Coturnix japonica: one gene and its partners. The protein of the gene in region 3 interacts with the protein of the main gene of each other region in a biochemical or structural test. Links are inferred from orthologs where the notes say so. Each region holds a gene or a part of one and is shown on either strand. Other genes may lie near its edges.

Region 1 (3,722 bases), on a different chromosome or scaffold from region 3:
GAAGGTCAATGTTCTATTTCAGAATAGACTGCAGCTAACGAGAATAAAGGGGAGGACTTCAAGACCTATTTTTCCACAGAAAGCAAGAAACAGAAGAGCTGTGAACTCATTTTGCTTCCTGGCAATTTTATTAGTTTCATTAATTGCTTTGCTCAACCTCTGATGCTTCCAGGCCTCCCATATACTTGAAAACTATCTTCCTTAGCCATTTTTGTCTTCAAGTGGAGCAGTAATTATGGGAAAACTGCTTCTGCTTATTCAATACATTGCATCCACATTTAGATGCCATCAGCTGCATGACTGCAACCATTTCGGTCTTCCTTTCTTGGTTACCTTCTCATTCAGTTCTCAAACGTCTGTTTTGCAAATTCATTGTTATGCTGAGAGAAAGCAGAGCAGAGATAAAAATAATTCTACCCCACTATGTGAAGTTATAAAGAATTACCTTATTTATTATACCTCGAGCCTCGCTAGCAAAATCACGAGAACAAACTTCTAAGTGAAATATCCTTCCACAGTTTGATACACAGGCTCCTAGAAGCTGACAACAGAAACACAGTTATGAAAATGTAGGACAACAATAATCCAAAACAAAAGCACATAGAAAAATTAAATTCCACCCTTTGTTCAGAGCGCTCCCACTGACGTCTACTGAAGATATACAGAAACTTATTAAGTGATCAGCACACAATTCATAGCTACATTACATGGAGAAATATAGAAGTTCTGGAAGGTAGTAATAGGCTACTCACTGTAAGCGCTTGCAGAGCTACATGGGGAACTTTATGATTTACTCTCTTCATGATGGCTTTAAGGCAATCCTTTGCCCTAAAAGAAGAAAGTATTAGAGACAAATGACTTTATAGAACAAATTTTACCAGATACTCATGTCCTGTAAGCAAACAAAACTGGCTCTGCAGAAAAAAAACCAAAAAAAACCATAACCTAACCCATACTTTTCCCAGAACAAGTCTGGAAGAATACTTAACGCATCACTTGTTCTTAAAAGTGCACTGGATTGGAAGACTCCATTATTATGCTGGCATTCTACATTGATATCCATAATACTGACAGAATTGGTCACAGTTCTGCTGTCAGAAGGAGCTGTGCTAGAAGCTCCTCTGTGCACAACACATGCACTCCAAACTCACAAGGAGCCACAGGGTCAGAGCCAGCAGCAGGTGCCATAGAAACACATGCACCACTGCCATTGTGGATATTCAGTTCAGAATTGATGAAACCTGTTCCAAAGGGGAAAGAAAACCTCCAAATGCTCCACTGGATGGATGTGTTGGCCTCAGTACCAGCTACCCTGGTCCATCATTGCAGTCCTGGTGTGCTGAGTTACTTGCTGATTACTTGCACATGGCTGGAGAAGCTTAAGTGTAGTTCTAATATTGAGTACATTTGTTCGTAATTCATGACCATAACAAAATCAACAAACTCATTGTTAAAGTATGTACTCGTTTAAGGGTAGCCAATATATCTTTCTTTCTAGAATGCATAAGGAACTTAATGTAGTAACCTGAAATATTACACCTAAATTACAAGAACACAAATCTACCATCACTTATGAATTCAAGATATGTACCAGTTCAAGATAACTACAGAATCTACATGTTATAACTCAAAAGATCTCCTTCACTTTCATCAATTATAAGATCACCGAATTTCCACTTTTGTGTCAATACAACCACTGAATGTAAACTGATTGAGTCCTGATCCCAAATTTTACTCCTTTTTCCTCCTCCATCAATCCCACTCTTCCTAATGAACAGACAAATTCCCAATCATAAATAACCAACTCCCTACGTATTTTTTTTCTCCCCCACAAAGAATCTAGTTCACTTCTTCCTATTGGCACAGTTGCTTTGCAAAACACATGCAAGATTAATAAATACGAATAATTTGGTCTGCTAGGCAAAACTTCCTAAAACTGGAACACATTCAGCATCTACCAGTTGCTCCACTGGAAGTCCTGCTGGAGTATTTCATTCCAAGAACTTTAAAGCAAACCACACACATCTGTAGGGCTCACAGAAGTGTCACAGCTGTGGTGCTTTCTATGTAGCTGATTATGATGAGCGTTTTGATGTGTTACTTTTGAAGCAGTATTATCCACACCAACATGAAATCACACGTCACGATGCCGAGTACAGCTCACCCATTAGGAGTGCTTCCAACTTTGTCACATATGTCCATTATGAGACCCCAGTCCTCACTGGTGTTGTGTTCATTTGTAGCCTTTTCTATAAAGAAAAGAAGATTGATTAAGCATAATCCACACAGAAGATACTGAGATTAGTGCTGCTACTTGGTATCTTATAAAGTGATATGCGTGTGTTTTCACATAGGAAGAGCGGTACTGGAATAATAAATGCATTCAGTAGTTAAAAGATCTGAAAAACAAAACAACTCTAAGTGTAAAGCTATTGAAAAAAGAACATAAAACTGCTTCTGCTCAGTTGGTTCAGTTAGCCCAGGTTCAGGTCAGAGCCCTAATTCAGAGCTTGCTCAAGGTCTTCTCATCTTGGCACTCACAACGTATTCCACATGGGTGTTCCAAGTGAACCAGATAAATCTCTTAAAGTCTCTAAAGGAAAAGATTTGTCATTAGAACAGCTTGTGAGATTCTCAGGGCATCCAAACATCACAACAAATGTCACGAGAAATGAAATGGAAGGGTTATAAAGGGTTATAAAGGTCCCAGAAGCAGCCAATAAAAACCAAACCACCCTTCCAAAAAAGTGTAATTCTACTCAATACTTACAGCATTTTAATCAATACACGAACCGATAAAGCTTAATGTTATTTATTTGTGCTCTCCCTTTAAGTTCATCATGTTATCTTCATGCCAGGTTAATATTACGATAGGATCAGAATTACTCAGGAAATATTTCATGCACCCCATTCGCTGCATTAAGAGTTAATTTTACCACGCTCTTTTAATATTTTGACCAAATTCAAAGGAAGAAGCTTTTATGTCCTATATTAATTCCATCAGAATGAACTTCATAAACAAATCAAGAAAGTACTTTAATCGCTACTTTAACATCTGTCTCAGCCTGAGAACCCACAAAGTCCCTTTGGGACTGAGTACGTTAAAGGCTATTAGCAGACTAAAGCAGAACGTAATGGACCTTCGCTATTAATGTGATGGCGTTCTGTGATAGAAGCAGTCTCCAAATGACAAGGCTTGCTGACAGCAATGCTACCTCAGGACAAACCCATCTCTGGGTGTGCAATTAAGCAGCTCCTCTGATGAGGAGTTGCTGTAAACTGTAAAACACTACAGTTTTACAGTCAAAAGTTGCAGCAATCCTTGGCAGCAGAACGGCTTCCACAAAGCAAACACCAGCACAGCAGTGCCCCTGGAAGCCTTTTATTACAGATGGAAGAGCAGGCCAAAGAGGAGAGAATAGAAATGTGCAATTTTGGCCGTACATTATCCTTACAGTCTACAATAACTATTTAAGGAAAGCAAATACTGTGCTGAAAGCACGTTCCTGCAGCACTAACCTTAAAGTACTTATCCTGGAAAGACACCGTTGTTGAATTTTCTTGTAGGTACATTGATATTTTTAGGTCAGTACCACAACATTCATTGCTCATTCTTGAAACGAAATGAGCACCTGCAATTTTATACAGTTTAAGGTGCAATTTCCTTTTAAAAAAAAAATAAAAATCTGAAGAAAACAAAGAGCGCCTACATGCACAGCAGC
Region 2 (3,822 bases), on a different chromosome or scaffold from region 3:
CTGACCACCTCCATCTTCTCTGAGCGCCATCCCCAGATCCCTGACTTGTTCCTGTGTGTACAAGCGGAGAGTGGCACCAGCCCTGTGCCCAGTGGCCCTCCAGCCCCATGGGCCCCGTGGCACACACCGCTCAAAGGCGATGTTCCTGGTGTCCAGGTGCGTGGAGACGATGGGCGACGTCAGCCGCCCAGCCACATGCTCCTCCGAGGGCTGCATGGCTGCCAGCAGCAGGTCTGGCTCGTGCAGGGCCAGTGCCAGCGTCTCAGTGTACACCACCTGCTTGTCGTGGTCCACCTCCATCACCACCGCTCCCTCCTCTGCATGAGAGGATGGAGTCAGCACTCAGCACTGCAGCATGCAGGCAGCCCCTGGCCCTGGGGATGCTGCATCCAGGGGCACCCGGGGCCTCTAAGGGAGATCTGGGATCCGTGTGAGTTTTTCCAGGGTGCCAGAGCCAAACCTTCTCCCTTGAAGATGTAGCTGCGGCGGCCCCGCTGCCACGTCATGTGCTCGAAGCCCAGCAGCGTGGTGTCCACCCGCAGGCTCTCACCCCGCTTCCAGACACGGTACACATCACTGGGGCACACCTTGGACACGAGGGGCACTGCAGGCAGCAACACCCATCCGTGGTGTGACAGGGGGTGACATCCCCACCCCCATCCTTGTCCCGATCCTTGTCCCCGCTCACCCCAGCTGGTAAATTCCCACTTCATCTCCACGTAGAAGTCAGAGGCCTGGAGGAGACAGAGGGGTCACAGAAGGCTATGGTGTGGAGGTCCCTGCTGGGATGCAGGGAAGCCCGTGGGGCCCCTTGGGGAGCTTGGGAAGGGGGACTGAGGGGAAAAAACAGGGAGTCCTGGGGGGGGATGGGGTCTCGGGGTCTCTCCAGCTGCACCCTCTAATTCCCATGGTGGAAGTCCATATCTGAGGGTGCTCATGTTGGGTGCACCCAGTGATGGAGACACCCGGTGCTGGGGGTACCCGGTGCTGCGGGTGCTTGGAGATGGAGGTGCCCGGTGTCAGGTGTGCCCCCACCCTGGGGTTATCCAGGGCCACAGGTGCCCACCCACTGCCTCGGACGCCCGGCCATACCCGGCGCAGCTTGCTGAGCAGCTCGGGGATGCCGGCAAGCCGCCGCGTTGCCCGCTGGTAGTCGCGGTACTGGAGCACCAGCTGCACTATCTCGGGATCCCCGGTGCTCACCGCCTCCTGCAGCACTGCGGGGCGGGGAGCTGCCATCAGCCGGGCGCCGCCACCACCATCCCCGCACCCCAACCCGCGCACACACCCGTCCAGCCGTTGGCGTTCTCCCGGCCCACGTTGGCGTTGTGCCGCAGCAGCACCCGCACCGACTCCAGGTGGCCCAGCGTGGTGGCCAGGTGCAGCGGGGTGCGTCCTCGGGGGTCCGTCAGCTCCACGTCGTGCTGGGGCACGCGCACCGTCACCCGGGCCACCCCCCCGGCCGGTGCCAGCCGCGTGCCCCCTCTCCCACGCCTTCACCCCAGCCCCGCAGCCCCCATCTCCGAACCCTCCTGTCCCTCAGCACCCCCTACTTCTCCCTGTCACCCAAATCCTCCCCATCCCTCCACCCCCGCACCACATCCCAGCGCCCCCAGTGCCTTCCTCCGATCCCCACATCTCCTCCCCCTCGCTCTCCCTTCTCCCTGCACCCAGCGCTCCCAAGACCCCACGTCCCCCCATCTCCCCAGCACCTCCCCGGTTCCTCCGTGTCCCCGTACCGCCGCTGCCCCGCATCCCCCGCCGTGCCATGCCCGGTGCCGTGCCCGCGCCCCCCCCCGCACCCGGCGCGCACCGTGCCGGAGCGCAGCGCACTGTCCAGCGCCTGGTGCCGGTTGTGCCACACGAGGCGGTGCAGCGGGAAGGTGTCTGCGGCGCGGGCCATTCCCGCACCATGTCCCCGGGATCCGGGCCGGGCCGGTCCGGGCCGTACAGCGCACGGGGGCCCAGCAGCAGCTCCGCGCCTGCCCGCAATGGCTGCGCGCGGGGGTGGCGGTGGCGCGGTGCAGCGCAGCGCAGCGCAGCGCGGCGGCGCGGGGCGGGGCCGGCACCGGGTAACCCCCCAGCGCCCCCACGGCACCGGGCGCTCGCCATGTCCTCCCCACTCTCCTCGTCCCGGTGCCGCCCCGCAGACTCCGGAGCCTGACTGTGGTTTTCCACATTTTTATTATAAAAAAAACTGCTTTTTTGTTTGTTTGTTTCCCTTCTTTTTTTTGTGTGTGTGTGTTTTTTTTAGGCATTCTCACGTTTCCGCTCATCCATCCCTCACTCGCACCGTGCTCTGCCCGCCGCTCCTCCCCACGCTACTATTTACAGATGCCAGCGGGCACAGCAGGCGGAGTCGGGGGTCGTCCCCACTTCTCCTCCCCAGCTGCCTCTTCCCGCATCACCCGCTGGCTCAGGGGGCAGGGGGCCCATGGCACAGTATTTACAGGGGGGCCCCCCGGGCGCGCACACACACACACACACACACACACACACACACACACTGTTATTCACACAGGGGACTTGGCACCCACAGACGGGCACAGCCGGGCTGGGGCACGTGCGGCACAGGGAGCCGCTGCTGCCCCGTTTGGCACACGTGGGTGGTGAAGGGGGGCGGTGGTCTGGGGGCAGGACAGCAGGTGGGGACACGGGACTGCCTTCATCTGAGCCGGAGCGGGAGCAGGGAGTGGTGCTGCACGTTCAGCACCAGCTCCGCTCCAGACGGTGATGCCATGGATGTGCCCTTCCATGGGCAGGGGGCTGGCACTGGCACCAGGCGTCCTCCTGGAGCTCTGCTCAAGGACACCAAGGAGTGGGGGTACGTGGAACCCAACCCAATAAATTAATGGTAGGGTGGGAAGGGCGGGGGGAGGCAGGGCAGGGGGTCAGAGCCCATTGGCAGAGCGCTGCAGGAAGGGCACTTTGCTGAGCTCCACCACAGGTGAGCGTGGCTTGTTCTGCATGCGTGGCACCCGCTGCAGCAGCTGCTGGGCCTGGCGCTGGGCATCCCGCAGCTCCTTCTGCCACTGCACCAGCTCGGGGTCGCTCTGTGGGGAAGCACATGGCTCAGAGCAGAGCTCCCCCGACTCACCATCCTGCCATACAGTGGATTAGTGTGGCCCCCCAAGGGCCCGTGGCACACTCACATCACACTGCAGCACGAACTGCTTGCCGCCACGGATGCGGAGCAGGATGCACTTGCGCTCCTTCACCTGAGTCTCCTCCACTGAGTCAATCTCCTCCATGGTGAGCAGGGACTGCTGAGAGGATGGGCTCAGCCCAAGCCTCAATAGATGAACCCCACATCCCCCCCTTGCCCGCCTTACCGGTGACTCGCCTTCCCCACGCCACTCCAGCCGGTTGGGGAAGAGGTAGAAGTAGCGGCGCTGCCACTGGGTCAGAAAGGGGTTGCCCAGCTTGGACATGTACCCATGTACGATGCAGTCCTTGCCCATGGCGTAGTCTGTGGCCCCCGCAACACAGGAGAAAGGTTCAGTGCCAGGCACTGCCACCGCTGTGCGGTGCCGGCCGACACCAGGGATGGGGCAGGGGACACCTGGCCCCACTCACCCTCCTCGTGGCCCAGCTGCTTGTTCTTGGCTTTCTTGCGCGCCTCCTGCTTGTCTGTGTCTGCATTGACGGTGTCAAAGACGGTCTCAGTCACCTCCTGCTGCCAGCGCTCCGAGATAGTGAGTGGGAAGTTGCGGTACAGCTCCTGGTCACTCTCCAGCAACTGGTGGGGAGGTGGGATCAAGGCCTGCCCCATGCCAAGCCACTGCCCGGTGCCAGCCCCCAGCCTGCTACCTTGATGCCCTT
Region 3 (3,512 bases):
AAAAACTGCACCAAGGACACTGAGAAGTCACACCTAAGTGAGGTAATGGAACCTCAGCACCACCCATTCTAACACAGTGCAGTGTACAACCCACTCCCACTACCTTAGTCCTACAGCCTTAATGATGGACAGCAGCTTCTGAAGTCCTTACAGGAACACTGCATCCTTTCTGAAAATACAGAATCACGTTAAATTCTAGCAAGATTTAGTGACACAGTACTAGTGCTTAGACTTAAGACTTTAATCCATGTTAGGATTCACCCTCAAATACCTCCACAACCCACATAAAGATGCTTAAACCACCATGGAAGAAAGCCAAAAGGAACGTGTCATTTATATATACTGGGTTTACTAGCTTGAACTGAGACAGACAACAGAACGTAATGTGCAACAGAAAACTTTATTAGCATTTCAACATACAGATCAGCAGTTACTTAAGCTTGCGTTTAATTTAAGACATCAGAAAGACTACAGTGCAAACACAAGTGCTGTGCATCTTGCTCGACAAGACTGCTGACAACAACTAATAGCCACCCCTGAGGCGCAGCACCAGGTGCAGGGTGGACTCCTTCTGGATGTTGTAGTCAGACAGGGTGCGCCCATCTTCCAGCTGCTTGCCAGCAAAGATCAGCCTCTGCTGATCGGGAGGAATGCCTTCTTTGTCTTGGATCTTGGCCTTCACATTTTCAATGGTGTCACTGGGCTCAACCTCAAGGGTGATGGTCTTACCAGTGAGGGTCTTCACAAAGATCTGCATCCCACCCCTGAGGCGCAGCACCAGGTGCAGGGTGGACTCTTTCTGGATGTTGTAGTCAGACAGGGTACGGCCATCTTCGAGCTGCTTGCCAGCGAAGATCAACCTCTGCTGATCGGGAGGAATGCCTTCCTTATCTTGGATCTTAGCCTTCACGTTCTCAATGGTATCGCTGGGCTCAACCTCAAGGGTGATGGTCTTGCCAGTCAGGGTCTTCACAAAGATCTGCATCCCACCCCTGAGGCGCAGCACAAGATGCAGGGTGGACTCCTTCTGGATGTTGTAGTCAGACAGGGTGCGCCCGTCTTCCAGCTGCTTGCCAGCAAAGATCAGCCTCTGCTGATCAGGAGGAATGCCTTCTTTGTCTTGGATCTTGGCCTTCACGTTCTCGATGGTGTCACTGGGCTCAACCTCAAGGGTGATGGTCTTGCCAGTCAGGGTCTTCACAAAGATCTGCATCCCTCCCCTGAGGCGCAGCACAAGATGCAGGGTGGACTCTTTCTGGATGTTGTAGTCAGACAGGGTGCGCCCATCTTCCAGCTGCTTGCCAGCGAAGATCAGCCTCTGCTGATCGGGAGGAATGCCCTCTTTGTCTTGGATCTTGGCCTTCACGTTCTCGATGGTGTCACTGGGTTCAACCTCAAGGGTGATGGTCTTGCCAGTCAGGGTTTTCACGAAGATCTGCATCCCTCCCCTCAGACGCAGCACAAGATGCAGGGTGGACTCCTTCTGGATGTTGTAGTCAGACAGGGTGCGCCCGTCTTCGAGCTGCTTGCCAGCGAAGATCAACCTCTGCTGATCGGGAGGAATGCCTTCTTTATCCTGGATCTTGGCCTTCACATTCTCAATGGTATCGCTGGGCTCAACCTCAAGGGTGATGGTCTTGCCAGTCAAGGTCTTCACAAAGATCTGCATCCCTCCCCTGAGGCGCAGCACCAGGTGCAGAGTGGACTCTTTCTGAATGTTGTAGTCAGACAGGGTGCGCCCGTCTTCCAGCTGCTTGCCAGCAAAGATCAGCCTCTGCTGATCGGGAGGAATGCCTTCCTTGTCTTGGATCTTGGCCTTCACATTCTCGATGGTGTCACTGGGCTCAACCTCAAGGGTGATGGTCTTGCCAGTCAGGGTCTTCACAAAGATCTGCATGTTTACCTGAAAAACATACAGAAATTTTAGCCTTAGCTAAAAAGCACTTTAAGTCCACATACACCTTACAAACGAGAAAAAAAAGAACAACTTACTAATTTGCATTACGTTACATCATTTAGGATTTCAATAAGCTATAACTAACCCTGTTGTTCCTGTTCCCCACCTCTTCCTTGAGGTAGGACCCTATAATTCTGAATGCCCTGTGCTGGCCGAGCCCAGCACCCCCCTTCCTTTAACTCCAGGGCACCCCCCCGTGCTCTCACACTGGCACAACGGCTGCAGCCGCGCTGACTCAGCTCCCGCTTCCGGGCCGCACAGCGCCGCGCTCCGCCATCTTTATAACACCCCACCTTCCTCAGCCACAAGCTTCCCCTGCCCCCCCCCCCCCCTCGCACCGTTCTTCAAGCGCCCTTAGGCCGGATTAGACCGTCCACAACCACCTCCCCTCACAAATACAACCCCAAGCGGACTCACTCCAACCCCTTCTGCCTTGAAAACAAAAAACCACCGTCCCTTCTCTCCCCCCCCTCAGCGCTCCCCCCACACAACTCACGTCTCCGGCCCTGAGCTCCGATCAATGCAATCCCGATCCCAGTCGCTGTGTTCTGCGCTGTGACGCAGCGCCGCCCCTATTTATGCTCCTTGCGCCGCACAGTCCCCGCCCTCAAAGCGCTGACGTATCCCTCCGCCTCTCAAAGTAGTCCCAAACGAACCCCCCCCCGGTACCAGCAATACTCACCTCTCTACCGCTCCAATCCCTCCTCCAGGAGTAATGGGGTCCGTGATGTCCTCGGTAGAGAGAGGAGACCCTTCAAAATCCCAAAAGTTCTGAGGGCGCGGATGGATCTGGAGCTGCGGTGAAACGGCCTAATGAAACGTTCTAATCCCAACGGTGGCAAGATCGGCGCTGATTGGCGCAGCAGTAAGAAAGGTGGCTGCTGATTGGTTGTTAAGGAAAGATCCGTTGTAAAGAAAGCTCTGGAAGATTCCAGCGTTGCAGCGTTCTGATTGGTGCGCGGTGAGGTCAGCGCTGTTGCTAGGGCGGCCCTGCTCTGCGGGGGCAGATTTCGGTGGGGTGGGGGGGTGTGCGCATGCGCAGATCCGTAGAGTGGGGGCAGGGAGAGGCCGGGCAGGCCCCGCGCCCATGGGGACGTTGTGTTTAGGCCGCATCTTTTTGCCTGTTATTTGCTTAGGGAAGGGTCTGACAAGGAGAAAGGGGGCAAAAATACCCCTTAATCACAGCAGGCCCACTGCTGCTTTCAGAACAGGAAGCACTGAACAGGTCACACAGCAGCTTCCTGCTTTGAGCCGACGTGGCGGCATGTTTTGTGTTCATTAAAGCTCATTATACCTTTCAGAACAGCTCTTATATCATAACCAGAGCATGCAGAAAGCAGGAAGGTTTCTCTGCTGTTTCATTTACTGCTCGGTGAACACAGATGAACTTGCTGGTAAATCCTCTGCTTAGGAAGCACGAACGTGTGTGTGAATAGCAGGACTGAACACAGGGCTGTATTTCCCCCAGTTAAAAAGAGAGCTTTCACTTCTTTTAGCAAGGCCTGTGACTGCTCAGCACTTGGTTTACAGTAAAAAGGACATAAATCTTCCCAGC

Evidence for each region.
Region 1: the proteins of UBC (region 3) and STAM2 form a complex in vitro, tested with the Homo sapiens proteins (11 studies listed by BioGRID and IntAct, with this or other methods). The link is inferred for Coturnix japonica from reciprocal best matches to the Homo sapiens genes UBC and STAM2.
Region 2: the proteins of UBC (region 3) and ANKRD13D form a complex in vitro, tested with the Homo sapiens proteins (4 studies listed by BioGRID). The link is inferred for Coturnix japonica from reciprocal best matches to the Homo sapiens genes UBC and ANKRD13D.

The regions. Positions count from the first base shown.
Region 1 is NC_029522.1:30,557,282-30,561,003, reverse strand, and holds part of STAM2 (signal transducing adapter molecule 2), read right to left. Parts: intron 2,250-3,722; coding exon 2,165-2,249; intron 2,065-2,164; exon of another isoform or gene 1,064-2,064; coding exon of another isoform or gene 957-1,063; intron 829-956; coding exon 753-828; intron 542-752; coding exon 446-541; intron 1-445.
Region 2 is NC_029520.1:144,947-148,768, reverse strand, and holds the start of ANKRD13D (ankyrin repeat domain-containing protein 13D), read right to left. Parts: upstream 2,299-3,822; 5' UTR 2,277-2,298; coding exon 1,803-2,276; intron 1,425-1,802; coding exon 1,289-1,424; intron 1,218-1,288; coding exon 1,093-1,217; intron 735-1,092; coding exon 689-734; intron 605-688; coding exon 461-604; intron 318-460; coding exon 128-317; intron 52-127; coding exon 1-51. Other genes in the region: GRK2 (beta-adrenergic receptor kinase 1), read right to left, coding at 2,892-3,053, 3,153-3,266, 3,333-3,469, 3,577-3,739, 3,811-3,822. UniProt on the Homo sapiens protein: Ubiquitin-binding protein that specifically recognizes and binds 'Lys-63'-linked ubiquitin. Does not bind 'Lys-48'-linked ubiquitin.
Region 3 is NC_029534.1:5,348,719-5,352,230, reverse strand, and holds UBC (polyubiquitin-C), read right to left. Parts: upstream 2,801-3,512; 5' UTR 2,640-2,800; intron 2,579-2,639; exon of another isoform or gene 2,454-2,578; intron 1,904-2,453; 5' UTR 1,898-1,903; coding exon 524-1,897; 3' UTR 382-523; downstream 1-381.